Drosophila melanogaster: one gene and its partners. The protein of the gene in region 1 interacts with the protein of each later gene in a biochemical or structural test. Each region holds a gene or a part of one and is shown in the gene's direction. Other genes may lie near its edges.

What was found.
Region 2: of the proteins of tld (region 1) and myo, one has a biochemical effect on the other in vitro, tested with the Drosophila melanogaster proteins (one study listed by BioGRID).
Region 3: of the proteins of tld (region 1) and sog, one has a biochemical effect on the other in vitro, tested with the Drosophila melanogaster proteins (5 studies listed by BioGRID).

The regions. Positions count from the first base shown.
Region 1 is NT_033777.3:24,747,822-24,751,581, forward strand, and holds the start of tld (tolloid), read left to right. Parts: upstream 1-1,909; 5' UTR 1,910-1,974; coding exon 1,975-2,172; intron 2,173-2,234; coding exon 2,235-2,296; intron 2,297-2,441; coding exon 2,442-2,786; intron 2,787-2,840; coding exon 2,841-3,661; intron 3,662-3,712; coding exon 3,713-3,760. Other genes in the region: tok (tolkin), read left to right, coding at 14-276, 336-659. UniProt on the Drosophila melanogaster protein: Metalloprotease which cleaves TGF-beta family ligands daw, Actbeta and myo in vitro. Cleavage of daw enhances its signaling activity. Cleaves dorsal-ventral patterning protein sog. Processes sog more efficiently than metalloprotease tld which also cleaves sog.
Region 2 is NC_004353.4:694,342-698,101, reverse strand, and holds the start of myo (myoglianin), read left to right. Parts: upstream 1-2,046; 5' UTR 2,047-2,405; exon of another isoform or gene 2,406-2,764; 5' UTR 2,765-2,888; intron 2,889-3,685; 5' UTR 3,686-3,712; coding exon 3,713-3,760.
Region 3 is NC_004354.4:15,631,378-15,635,137, reverse strand, and holds the start of sog (short gastrulation), read left to right. Parts: upstream 1-1,703; 5' UTR 1,704-2,329; intron 2,330-3,760. UniProt on the Drosophila melanogaster protein: Putative negative growth factor. Antagonist of dpp, a protein involved in patterning the dorsal region and in the development of the neuroectoderm; dpp inhibition is enhanced by tsg.

The DNA.
Region 1 (3,760 bases):
AATTTACTTGCAGCCTGTGGGGGCTACTTGCGTGCCACTAGCCAGGTGCAGCAGTTCTATTCGCACGCCCGATTCGGAAACCAGGACTATGACGACGGCATGGACTGCGAGTGGACCATCGCGGCGCCGGACAACAGCTACGTCCAGCTCATATTCCTCACCTTCGACATCGAGAGCAGCGAGAACTGCACCTTTGACTACGTGCAGGTGTTCTCTGACATAGACGATGTGTACGGACAGTATGGACCCATGTACGGACAGTACTGTGGCAATGTGGTGGGTACACCTATTTCGTTTATCCGGAGAACATTTAAGCTAAGCATTATTTACTGCAGCTGCCGCAGGACATCAACTCTATGACACATTCTCTGCTGGTTCGCTTTAAGACCGACGGTTCGGTGCCGATGAAGGGCTTCTCTGCCTCATATGTGGCCGTGCCCAATTCCGGGGAGTATGACCACTCCGACGAGGATGTGGAGAACTCGTACAGCTCCGAGATGGTTACCCCGTTTCCGGGCTCACTGAAGAGCATCTACATCGAGGACACGCAGGAGGAGACCGACGAGTACAGCGACTTCAGCGGCAATCAACTGGTCTTCAATGGGCAGTATCGTGGCCGATATAGTCTGCCCAAACGGTACTACTCCGGAAAGGCATAGGGCTATGGTGGAACCACTGACCGTGCGCCAAAATACATGACAATATATTAAAACGGAATTTATTTAACAGATTTAGGCATATCGTCGCGTACATAAAACAGACTTTCCCGATCTTCCACGCGCACTCTTCTGGCCAAATCCAGGATATAATCAAAGATCCAATACTAGTTTTAGGCACTCGAAACACACATTGTTAGGTTCCAGTCGGCTAAGATCTGCGGTGGCAATTACTTAGACCCCTATGTCATACATGTAATGTACTTTGACTAGACTTCTCTAGACTCTGTAGCTAAATGTGCAATTCCTCTTCCCCCCTTGCATTTGACTGCTTTTTTCTCTGACGCATTTTCATTTTTTTCGGATATCTATATTCTATATTGTGCCATATTTAATGGTAATGATGGAGTGCATTTCCTTAGGCATCTTAGCATAAGTCAATGGGTGGCCCATATCAAAATCAGAACGGAAGTTAGGATAGAAAAGAGATACACACATATCTTCGGAAGCACCGAAAGTGGAGGATCCTTACAGATGGATTGAATTTTTCACACAGGCATATGTACAACTCTCGGATATTTGACTCAACTTAATACGTAATTATATCTATACATATTAAAACTTGCATAGTAACTATGTTTTAAAACCAAAACAAAACGAGTTTGAAGAATGTTATTTACGGACTTTCGGGTTTATGGGCTCATGGATTTATGGCCCTAGGTTCCACCTTGCCACGCCAGGCAGAAGCGCCATGGCTCTTGAATAGCATTTGAAGGTGGAATTACCGCGAAACGATTCGTTCATGCGGCGGATTTACGATCATTAATGACCTGCCCTAAAAGGCACGAACCCGCTTAAGCAACACCTGATCCTGGGCAAATGCCCCTGAGCCCGGCCAGCGACCCAGGTAGATGGCCACATACGCGTACACGTATAGATGGACAATGTCAAGGTGTGAGCAGGAATACCCAAATCAAAATCCATTGAATGCAAACAACAGGCGGCAGACAATGGTCATCCCGAATCGCCAATGAGGAGGGGTAGCACTCAGGTCTGGTTATGGCTCTCGTCTCTCCTTCTATTGAGCCGTCCCTTCGAGCGGTCAGTCGAGATTCTGCAACGGCCTGCCCTGCCACGCCCCTCGTCCACCGATTCCCCTACGAGTTGGGATCTGTTACCTGCTGCTCACTCACTCGATCCGTGGAACCCTTGTCGGCGCACCAGTATAATTCGGCAATCGCAGTCCACGAGCACTCAGTTAGAACTTTGAACTGGTTGAAGCAACTTCAGGGAACGAGCCCCCAGAAATACCCACGCAATGAAAGGAATGCGCCTTATGCCCATGAAAATGAAAGCGAAATTAGTTGTTCTCTCTGTGGGAGCTCTCTGGATGATGATGTTTTTTCTGGTGGATTACGCCGAGGGCAGGCGACTGAGTCAGCTGCCCGAGAGTGAGTGCGATTTTGATTTCAAGGAGCAGCCAGAGGACTTCTTTGGCATTCTGGATTCTTCACTGGTGAGTGGTGGAGTCACGTGGCCCGACCTAAAATTACAATCTTCAGCATTACCCAACAACAGGTGCCGCCGAAGGAGCCAAAGGATGATATCTATCAACTCAAGACAACCAGACAACATTCGGGGTAAGTTCCACTGGGATTTATACCGCACACAATGGTGCGCAATTAGCCCACACACTTGCCTTGGCCACTGGAGTGCTTGCCTTTGGGCACGTAAGTAATACCTGAGCTCATAAGCCCTCCCTGCCCATCTCAACCACCCACACAGGAGACGCCGGAAGCAGTCGCATAAATCGCAGAACAAAGCCGCTCTGAGATTACCCCCACCATTTCTGTGGACCGATGACGCTGTTGATGTCCTGCAGCATAGTCACTCACCCACTTTAAATGGGCAACCAATCCAGAGAAGGCGAAGAGCTGTGACCGTGAGGAAGGAGCGAACTTGGGACTATGGGGTCATACCCTACGAGATCGATACCATCTTCAGTGGAGCCCACAAGGCGCTCTTCAAGCAGGCCATGCGCCACTGGGAGAACTTCACCTGCATCAAGTTTGTGGAGCGGGATCCCAATTTGCATGCAAACTATATATACTTTACAGTCAAGAATTGCGGGTAAGTCTAATATTCGTTCTATGGAGAATTTATAATTTATATCCCATCGAATAGTTGCTGTTCGTTTCTGGGTAAGAATGGGAATGGACGCCAGCCCATCTCCATTGGACGTAATTGCGAAAAGTTTGGCATTATTATCCATGAACTGGGTCACACAATCGGGTTTCACCATGAACACGCCCGTGGTGACAGAGATAAACACATCGTGATTAACAAGGGGAACATCATGAGGGGTCAGGAGTACAACTTTGATGTACTCTCGCCGGAGGAGGTGGACTTGCCTCTACTGCCCTACGATCTTAACTCCATTATGCACTATGCGAAGAACTCGTTCTCGAAGAGTCCCTACCTGGATACCATCACACCGATAGGGATTCCACCCGGAACCCATTTGGAGTTGGGTCAGCGGAAGCGTCTTAGTCGCGGCGACATTGTTCAAGCCAATTTGCTTTATAAGTGCGCCTCCTGTGGACGAACATATCAGCAGAATTCTGGACATATAGTGAGTCCACACTTTATATACTCCGGCAATGGAGTACTCAGCGAATTCGAGGGCAGTGGTGATGCTGGGGAAGATCCGTCCGCGGAATCTGAGTTCGATGCCTCGCTGACCAACTGCGAGTGGCGGATCACGGCCACCAATGGGGAAAAGGTCATCCTGCATCTGCAGCAGCTGCATCTGATGAGCTCCGACGATTGTACTCAGGATTACCTGGAGATTAGGGATGGTTACTGGCACAAATCGCCACTGGTGAGACGAATCTGCGGAAATGTCAGCGGAGAGGTCATCACCACCCAGACAAGTCGCATGCTTCTCAACTATGTCAACAGGAATGCAGCCAAAGGTTACCGTGGATTCAAGGCGAGATTCGAGGGTAAGTTTTAAACTTTTCAAAGAAAAACACAAACTAATTTTTCCATTCCAGTGGTATGTGGTGGGGACTTAAAGCTGACCAAAGATCAGTCCATAGACT
Region 2 (3,760 bases), on another chromosome or scaffold:
TATTTTAAATTAAATTTCTGACCTTTTAAATGACCGTCGTCACTTTTTGGTTAAACCAATTCGAAATTAATTACGGTCAAAAGCCTTATTAAAAAACTTTCGGATCATAATTATTTCGACTAATATATGTACTACCTGCAATAATAAGAGGGCTTTTGGGAAAAATTCACACAGATGGGTTTAGTTAGTAGGGAATAATATTTACAAAATATACATACATATTTATATTACGAATGGTCGCACATGTATCCTGATTCTTTTATTAGATATTGATTGTCACACATTTTCTTCGATTTTCGGATGGGGGAAAAACAGTATGTGATTAAACACTAAAACGAACGTTCGTACAATATTGTTTATGCAATATTGTTTATATTTTCTGTGTATTTTGGTATTTTGTAGTATCGATTGGACTTCAGCACGCATCTGCTCGTATCAGGATGGCAACTCTCGGCGTGTAAAAATACAAACGGCAACTCTTAACATATATAGAAATCGATATGGCAACCCAATACCAGTGATTGCGTAGAGAATACGTTATTTTCAAAAATTCGATGCAGTAAATAAATAAATTCACAGATATAAGAATGATAATTTAGCAGACCTAAAGAATCGGTCCATTAATGAGCTATTAATAGTTCAACTAATCTACTCGTTGAAAATGTTGTGAAAAATATTTGAAAGCCAACTAAAGCGTTTCCTATTGTTAAACCATTGCAGAGCGTATAGTGATTTCTGTCAGAAAATTGCAACGTAGTGGAAATAATAGAAAAAAAATTATAAATTCTTGTTTTTGATCAGGAAGTATTTTAGTTCTGTATTTATCGGTTGAATGCGTGATCGCCATTTTCGTAATATTAGGTTTATCGCACGATTACCATCTATATGTGCGTAGATGAAGGAAAATTGACGCACTTGTTGAAATTATTTTATTTAAATCTTTATTATAACCAAAAAAAAATCGTAAATTGTTAACCACAATGGAAAAAATAAGTAGCTTACAATCCATCCAATAAATAATCTCTTATCAGTTACTTTGTTGATACATAAAAGAAGTCTTCTCCATTTGAATTGCTATTCTTAAGTAAAACAACAGAATTGCTGATACAAAGCAATAAAAATAAGTTAGTACAGTGTGAACACCTATCGTTTTCTTCCATATCGATAGGAAACTCATAAATGTATGTGTGGAAAGGCTTAAACATCTGTACGGGCGTCGATATATCGACAGCTAATCTGGAAAACACTAGACATCGCGGTAATTGTCCCTACCCTTTTTATGGAGTTCCCAGATTGCCTTCTTACACAACCATATTAATGGGCAATAATTATATAAGAAGACTGCGGAACAAAGGGGACCCGCACGAATATGTACTTGATTTAATATAAGTTTCTTTTATACACATAAAATTATTTTTGCATACTTATGTAAGTGCGTTGGGTACTTTTTATTAATTCCAGAGTAACGACATTTTTGCCGTTAATTTAAAACACGAAATGTTAGGACAAGAATGCGGAACTTCGGTTAAATTTTAAAAATTCCTTTGTATCAATATAGTCATTCCAGTAGTACAAATTAATACGCATGTAATTTTTGTTGTATAATAGCACTCAATTTTGTGTAATAAAAAAAAACAACTAGGGAACCAAAATTATAGAGACAAATCAAATCCTGCTAATAAAAATATATCTTATATAGTTTCTTCGGGTCTATTTGAAATCTTTGAAATGTAAAAATGTCTACACTCATAACTTATAAGAGTTAAAACGGCTTAAGGATTAAATTGATTTACAATAGAAAGTGATTATTAGCGACAGTGGAAATATAAATAAAATGTTTTCTAGAATTGTAAAAAAAAAAGTAGGAGTATATTCAATAAATATTTCATTTTAATATAATGCTATTTTGCTCGATAAAAATGTTAATATGAATTAAAGTTTACTCTTGCAATGCGTTTCAGCAGATACATTTTTAAAAGCGGCCTGTTATGCCAACTAAAACGAAATTGCCGGTGAGCCGTATGTATCCGATCGCATCTGATCAGCTGCTTTCAGTTCTACTTCGTCGCTCAATCGCACAGCAGTACAGAATCTCTGCGGGTTTTCAAATATTGGTTCTCTATGAGAAATAAATTATTATTATTTAGTGCGCAATTGAATACACAATTTTTTCAAACTATGTGTTTTTGGACAATGAATAATAAATTTAACAAAAGCGGATTGCAAAAGAATAATGTTCGAAACCGTAGGCCCACTGTTACTTCAATATAAAACATTTAATAATATATACTATACATATATTAAAACACACAATTGCCTAGTTTCAAAATAGATTTTGGTTGTACAAGTGTATAAAAATAAAATAAATACCGATAGATAAGTATATATCTACTTATGTACAATTGGTAGGTGTTTAAAAAGTTTGTTATCGCTAAATGTACATAACTTTGTACATACACAGCTTTAAAAATGTACATATGTGCTTATATGCATGCTATTTATTCTGTATGTATGTATAATTTACGTATGTACATACATATGATATATCTCATTTACGTTGTTCTGCTTGTAAAAGGGGAATAATGCACTTTCAGCGATGAACTGAAGTTCAAGAGCACAATAATTTATTATGTTTATAAATGGTTTTAATTGAATACAATAGTGGTCATAAAGAGGACTCATGTGAAACGTTTATGAACGGGCTTTGCATATGTGCATGTACATATGTAGCTTGAACTAACTTTTACGACTGTGTGCACATTAGGGTGGTCATTTTCTGCTGGCGCATCGCGCTTCCAAGGCGGATCAAACAATGCAGATATGATTTTTAATTTTTAAAAATCATTATATCCGGTGCTGCAGGATTTTATACTTCTACTATATTCAAAGTAAGTTTTTTCGTAGCCTGAAACAAGTTTTTGAAGGTTATTATTCCGTTATTCCGAGTTTTAGAATATTCACGAGCACACAAATCAAGTGACGATCGCAGCCTCACCGTGCCGATTTGTGACGAAAAATGGTTTTACAATTGTCAGTGTTTTTTCCTAAGCTTTATAGCCATAGAGCCATTTTTCCCTATGGCAGGTATATAAGTGTATGGTCGTCTGATTTTGATCGATTAAAAACCTAAATTATATATTTTCAAAAAAATGTGCATACTGAAGAAGAACTCTTTTTATTTGAAAACAACGAGTCTATAATTTTTTTCAACAGTTAGCTATATGATATGATCGTCAAAAGTCTATCAATTTAAAACCGAAATATTATATTGTCCAAATTTTGCCAATAATTTTAATATTTTTGAAGTTAGAGATCGTCAGTGGCGTAAGCTATTCAATTTTTTTTTTTTTTTTTTTTTGTATTGACTCGCGAAGGGGAATCATTGACTTCCGTGCTAATGCTTTAATAGGGTTTAAAGGGGTGCGCTCTTCTTTTTTCTCTGCACAGCTGTTTAAGGTATTACCTTGGGAATCCGACTTAATCGAATACAGCAGGGGATTATCTAACAGCTTGTATTTCGCGATTTGATTTTTAAAAAAATTGTAAAATAAGGCCAACAAGAGCCAAGTTGATTGGATGACAAGATCACCAGCCGCTGTCTCCAAAAATAAATAATAATTATTATTTTTATTTTTTCTTATTTTAAAATATATCAAGTATATTTATAAATACAAGTCCTTTTCAGCATTCATCAACGGTTTGATCAAAAATCATGCTGGCCAACTCATGCTGCGGTTGGAGAAAATATAAAACCCATGAT
Region 3 (3,760 bases), on another chromosome or scaffold:
ATATTTTCATATGTAATTATTGAACATCTATTTCTTAGCAAGCTGAGGAGAATTATATCAGCAATGTCAAAATTATAATAATAATATTTTTACAGAGTATGCCAGTTTGTCTCGAAAGCTTGAAGTGCGATTTTGAATATATTCAGTACAATCAATTAGTAGCTTATGACACATTTTATATATATTATGAATATTTATAATATATTTATTTCTATTCAATGCACTTTTGTGCCAACGGAGCATTGCCCAATTTCCATCGAAATCGCAGCCATTTTCGAGCTTCTCGCCAATTTCCATCACGTTGCAGTCTCGATCGCTTCGAAATATATATGTAAGTTGGAAATTCAGAAACTCAGAAAAACAGAAATTCAAAAAGTCGGGACTGAGACTTTGACGTTCGATCGTGACAGAATATGAATTGAAAGGGAAACCAGATTGTTAGCACTCGACTATGGGTATAGAGATGGTAGAGGTACTGGGCATGTCCATAAGGTTGGATACCGTTGTGATAGTGTGTGTATTCATAGTTACACACATTATCGAGCCAGTGAAAATGTTCTACACAACTTTGCTATGCTAGTGACGACTATTTTTAGACGTCCAGCACCACAGCACTTTGTTGGCAAAAATGCAGTAACAAAAATAAATAACTTGGCCAACAGTTAGTTAGTTGTTGTTTGCCTCGCCCCGCCGCACTTTTTTTTTTTGATGGATCATCGCCGTCGTGACGTCAGCAAATGTTGTTTTGTTCGCTGCACCGAAGGCGCAAAAATATTCGGCATATTTGTGTTGATCTCTAGCCGTCAAGCGTCATGAAACGTAATGGATACAGCTCCTTCCGCCTGGCCACATCCACGGCATTGTGGGCTGTCCTAGGTTAGTTTTCACTGTACTCGAGTCGAGTGGGCGAGGCCAAACGCCTCACTAGCCGCCAATCCCGGGCACGATTGGGCTGCCAAGAAGCTTTTGGCTTCCATGGGAAGACAGCGAAAGCCTTTAAAATGCCAAGCTGCACTGGGAAAAAAAAAACAATGAAGTAATGTAATTGGTCATGAACGAAGCTTTTGTAAATATACGCATTAAGCGATTTCTTTAAAATATATATTTTTTTTTACTTATGTAATAAAACTATTTTAAACTGTTTTTTAAAGCTTATAAGTGAAAATAAGTTCCTAATTATTAGAAAACTCAAAAGTATTCATTATTCATTACTTTTTTATCCTGAAAAGTTGAAAAGGGTTTGCAAATAAAATGAATATGATGAGATATTATGATAAATCACCTTTAGTTTCTAATAAAGCTACCAAAAAAGCGTTCTAAAGATATCCCTCGGAACCAAATGTATCTGAAAGTCGTAATATCTTAGATCCTAACGTAATGCTCTTGGAAATGGCTTTCTGTGGCTACACATACACATACACATGGCTACACAGCGATTTGTCGCCGCCGTGGAGAGGAAAGAAGAGGAAAGGAGAGGAAGGGAGAGGAGAGTCCGCTTGGAGCTGTCTATGTCTATTTTGCGAAAGGGGGAGATGGTAAGGTGAGCGATGCCGGCGAGAGTGGGTGGCGACATTGGGAGCGGAGAGTGATGGCACCAGAGAGAGAGAGAGAGAGAGAGGGAGATCGAGTGAGAGAGCGAACCGCTATGTCTAGATCTAGGTCTATATGATTATATGCTGAAAACTTCAGTTTGTCAAAGATCGCGACGACCGAACGAACGACGCTAGAGAAACGCGCACCGAAATCGATGACCAATCCAAACGATAACGATTGCCAGCCCGCAGGAGTCATTTCGAAAATTGCGCGCGCGTTTTTGGCGACGTATTGCATATAAATCATATGTATATGTCCGCATATACATATAAACGAAACGAACATATAGAACATATATTTCCATATCTCGATATTCTATTTCATTGTTCATTGTTGCCCCTATTTTTTTTTTCTTGTGAAACGTATGTATGTGCGCGCGTCTGTGGAATGGTGCAATTACAGTCGTAGTTATTGGTTTTTAATGAACCTCTTAAATTGCCATTGAGGAACGTGAAAAGTGCCCGAAAGCCCGAAACGGAAATTATACTTTACACTCATGATTATTAGTTGTGGAAATTGCAGCTTAAATCGCCATTAATCGACACACACATATGGGCGTGGGTGAATCGTTAAATAGTACTCATAGTGATTGCACTGCTACACTGCGTTTCGGCATGTTAAGTCTGGCCGTTTTGAGAAGCAATAACTATTTAACCGAATTCTTCTATTGCCCTTTCAATAACTAAATAACACACAGCGACTTGGCAACGAAATGCTAGCTCTAGAACAGATGAAGGTAATGATAAGAGTGTCTCAACAAACAATACAATCCTGAAACGCACTGTACCTGCAACCTGAAAGCTCTTGCCCCTCTGGATTATAAGTCCGTCACTTTCGGTTTTAATGATCGCATTGAAATGGAATGTCATCGACCAATTTCAATTCTAATTCCATTCCGATTCCGATTCCGACCCAATATCGTCGAGATCGAGGCGACACACGCCCCAAAAACGAGACAATTACCCAGGAATGGGGCATGATTTCTTTTATTATTACTGTGTTTAGATCGAATCTGACGCCAAAAGGGCGACCTAAAAAAAAAAAAAAAAAAAAAACCAAGACAAGAAAAAACGTAATCACAAAGAATGGGAAAAATCAATCGAACATCGAACATTCGATGCGGACCAGTTGCAGAACGGCAAAGGGGGCAGATCGGTGGATAGCTGGGATAGATAGACAGATATATACATAGATATATAGATAGATAGATCGATCGATCGATCGGGCGATCGGGCGATCGGGCGGTCGGGCGAATGATGAAATTTCCAGAGCGTTTCAATAGCAACCGGCAACAGAAAGAAAAAGCAACACCGACCGACAACGAACCATTTACAATTCCAATCGAATGGCAATTGTTGCCGACTTGCAGCATGATTCAAATCGAGGGCGTGACAGAGGAAATGGGGCGGGGGGTAAATACCTAGATTACCGTACTCGATGACGCAGCCCAGGTATGTGTAGGTACTCTCGATCGCTTGAAAGTCGACAGATACTCGCAGTATCTAGCGACAGTGATGAAGAGTTTAACTGCGCTCGGAAAATCCATCATTATCATGCCGCTGATATGATAACCAACCATTGAAATGGCTAAGCAACAATCTGTTAGTAAGATTGTATGGTGTTTTATTTCGATCATTAAGCTAAACTAAAACTTCCATCACTTAGTTCAAACTTTAGCTTGTCTCACGAATCCCATTCCGTCCATCAATTGATCAAACAATCGATCGCCGGATCGTTTGAGTTTGTTTGATCGTTCGATGATCGCGACAACAAGAAGAAGACGACCAAAATTTAACGATGTTGGCCAGTTGGCTAACTGCGGTTTTACTGCCACTTTACGTGCTGCTGTTTTGTCTGGCAAACAAAACATTCGCACACACATGACACACACACGGCACACATGACGTATACGCGATATTTTTGGCCTGCTCTCGCACAGAAACAGAAAGACATAGTGCGAGTGCGAGTGGGACGGGTGGACTGGCGAAGGGAGAAAGAGCTACACGGAATCTCTGTTGCTAGGGTGGCAGTTTGTATGGGGGGTTAGTCAGCTTATAAATAATGGAATATCATCTAGGTGCTTTCTGAGTGCCGCAAACTATGGTGAACTTTCGTACGATGGAACCTCCGGAAAATTACTCAATCGAATCGCACACAAATTTCCCGG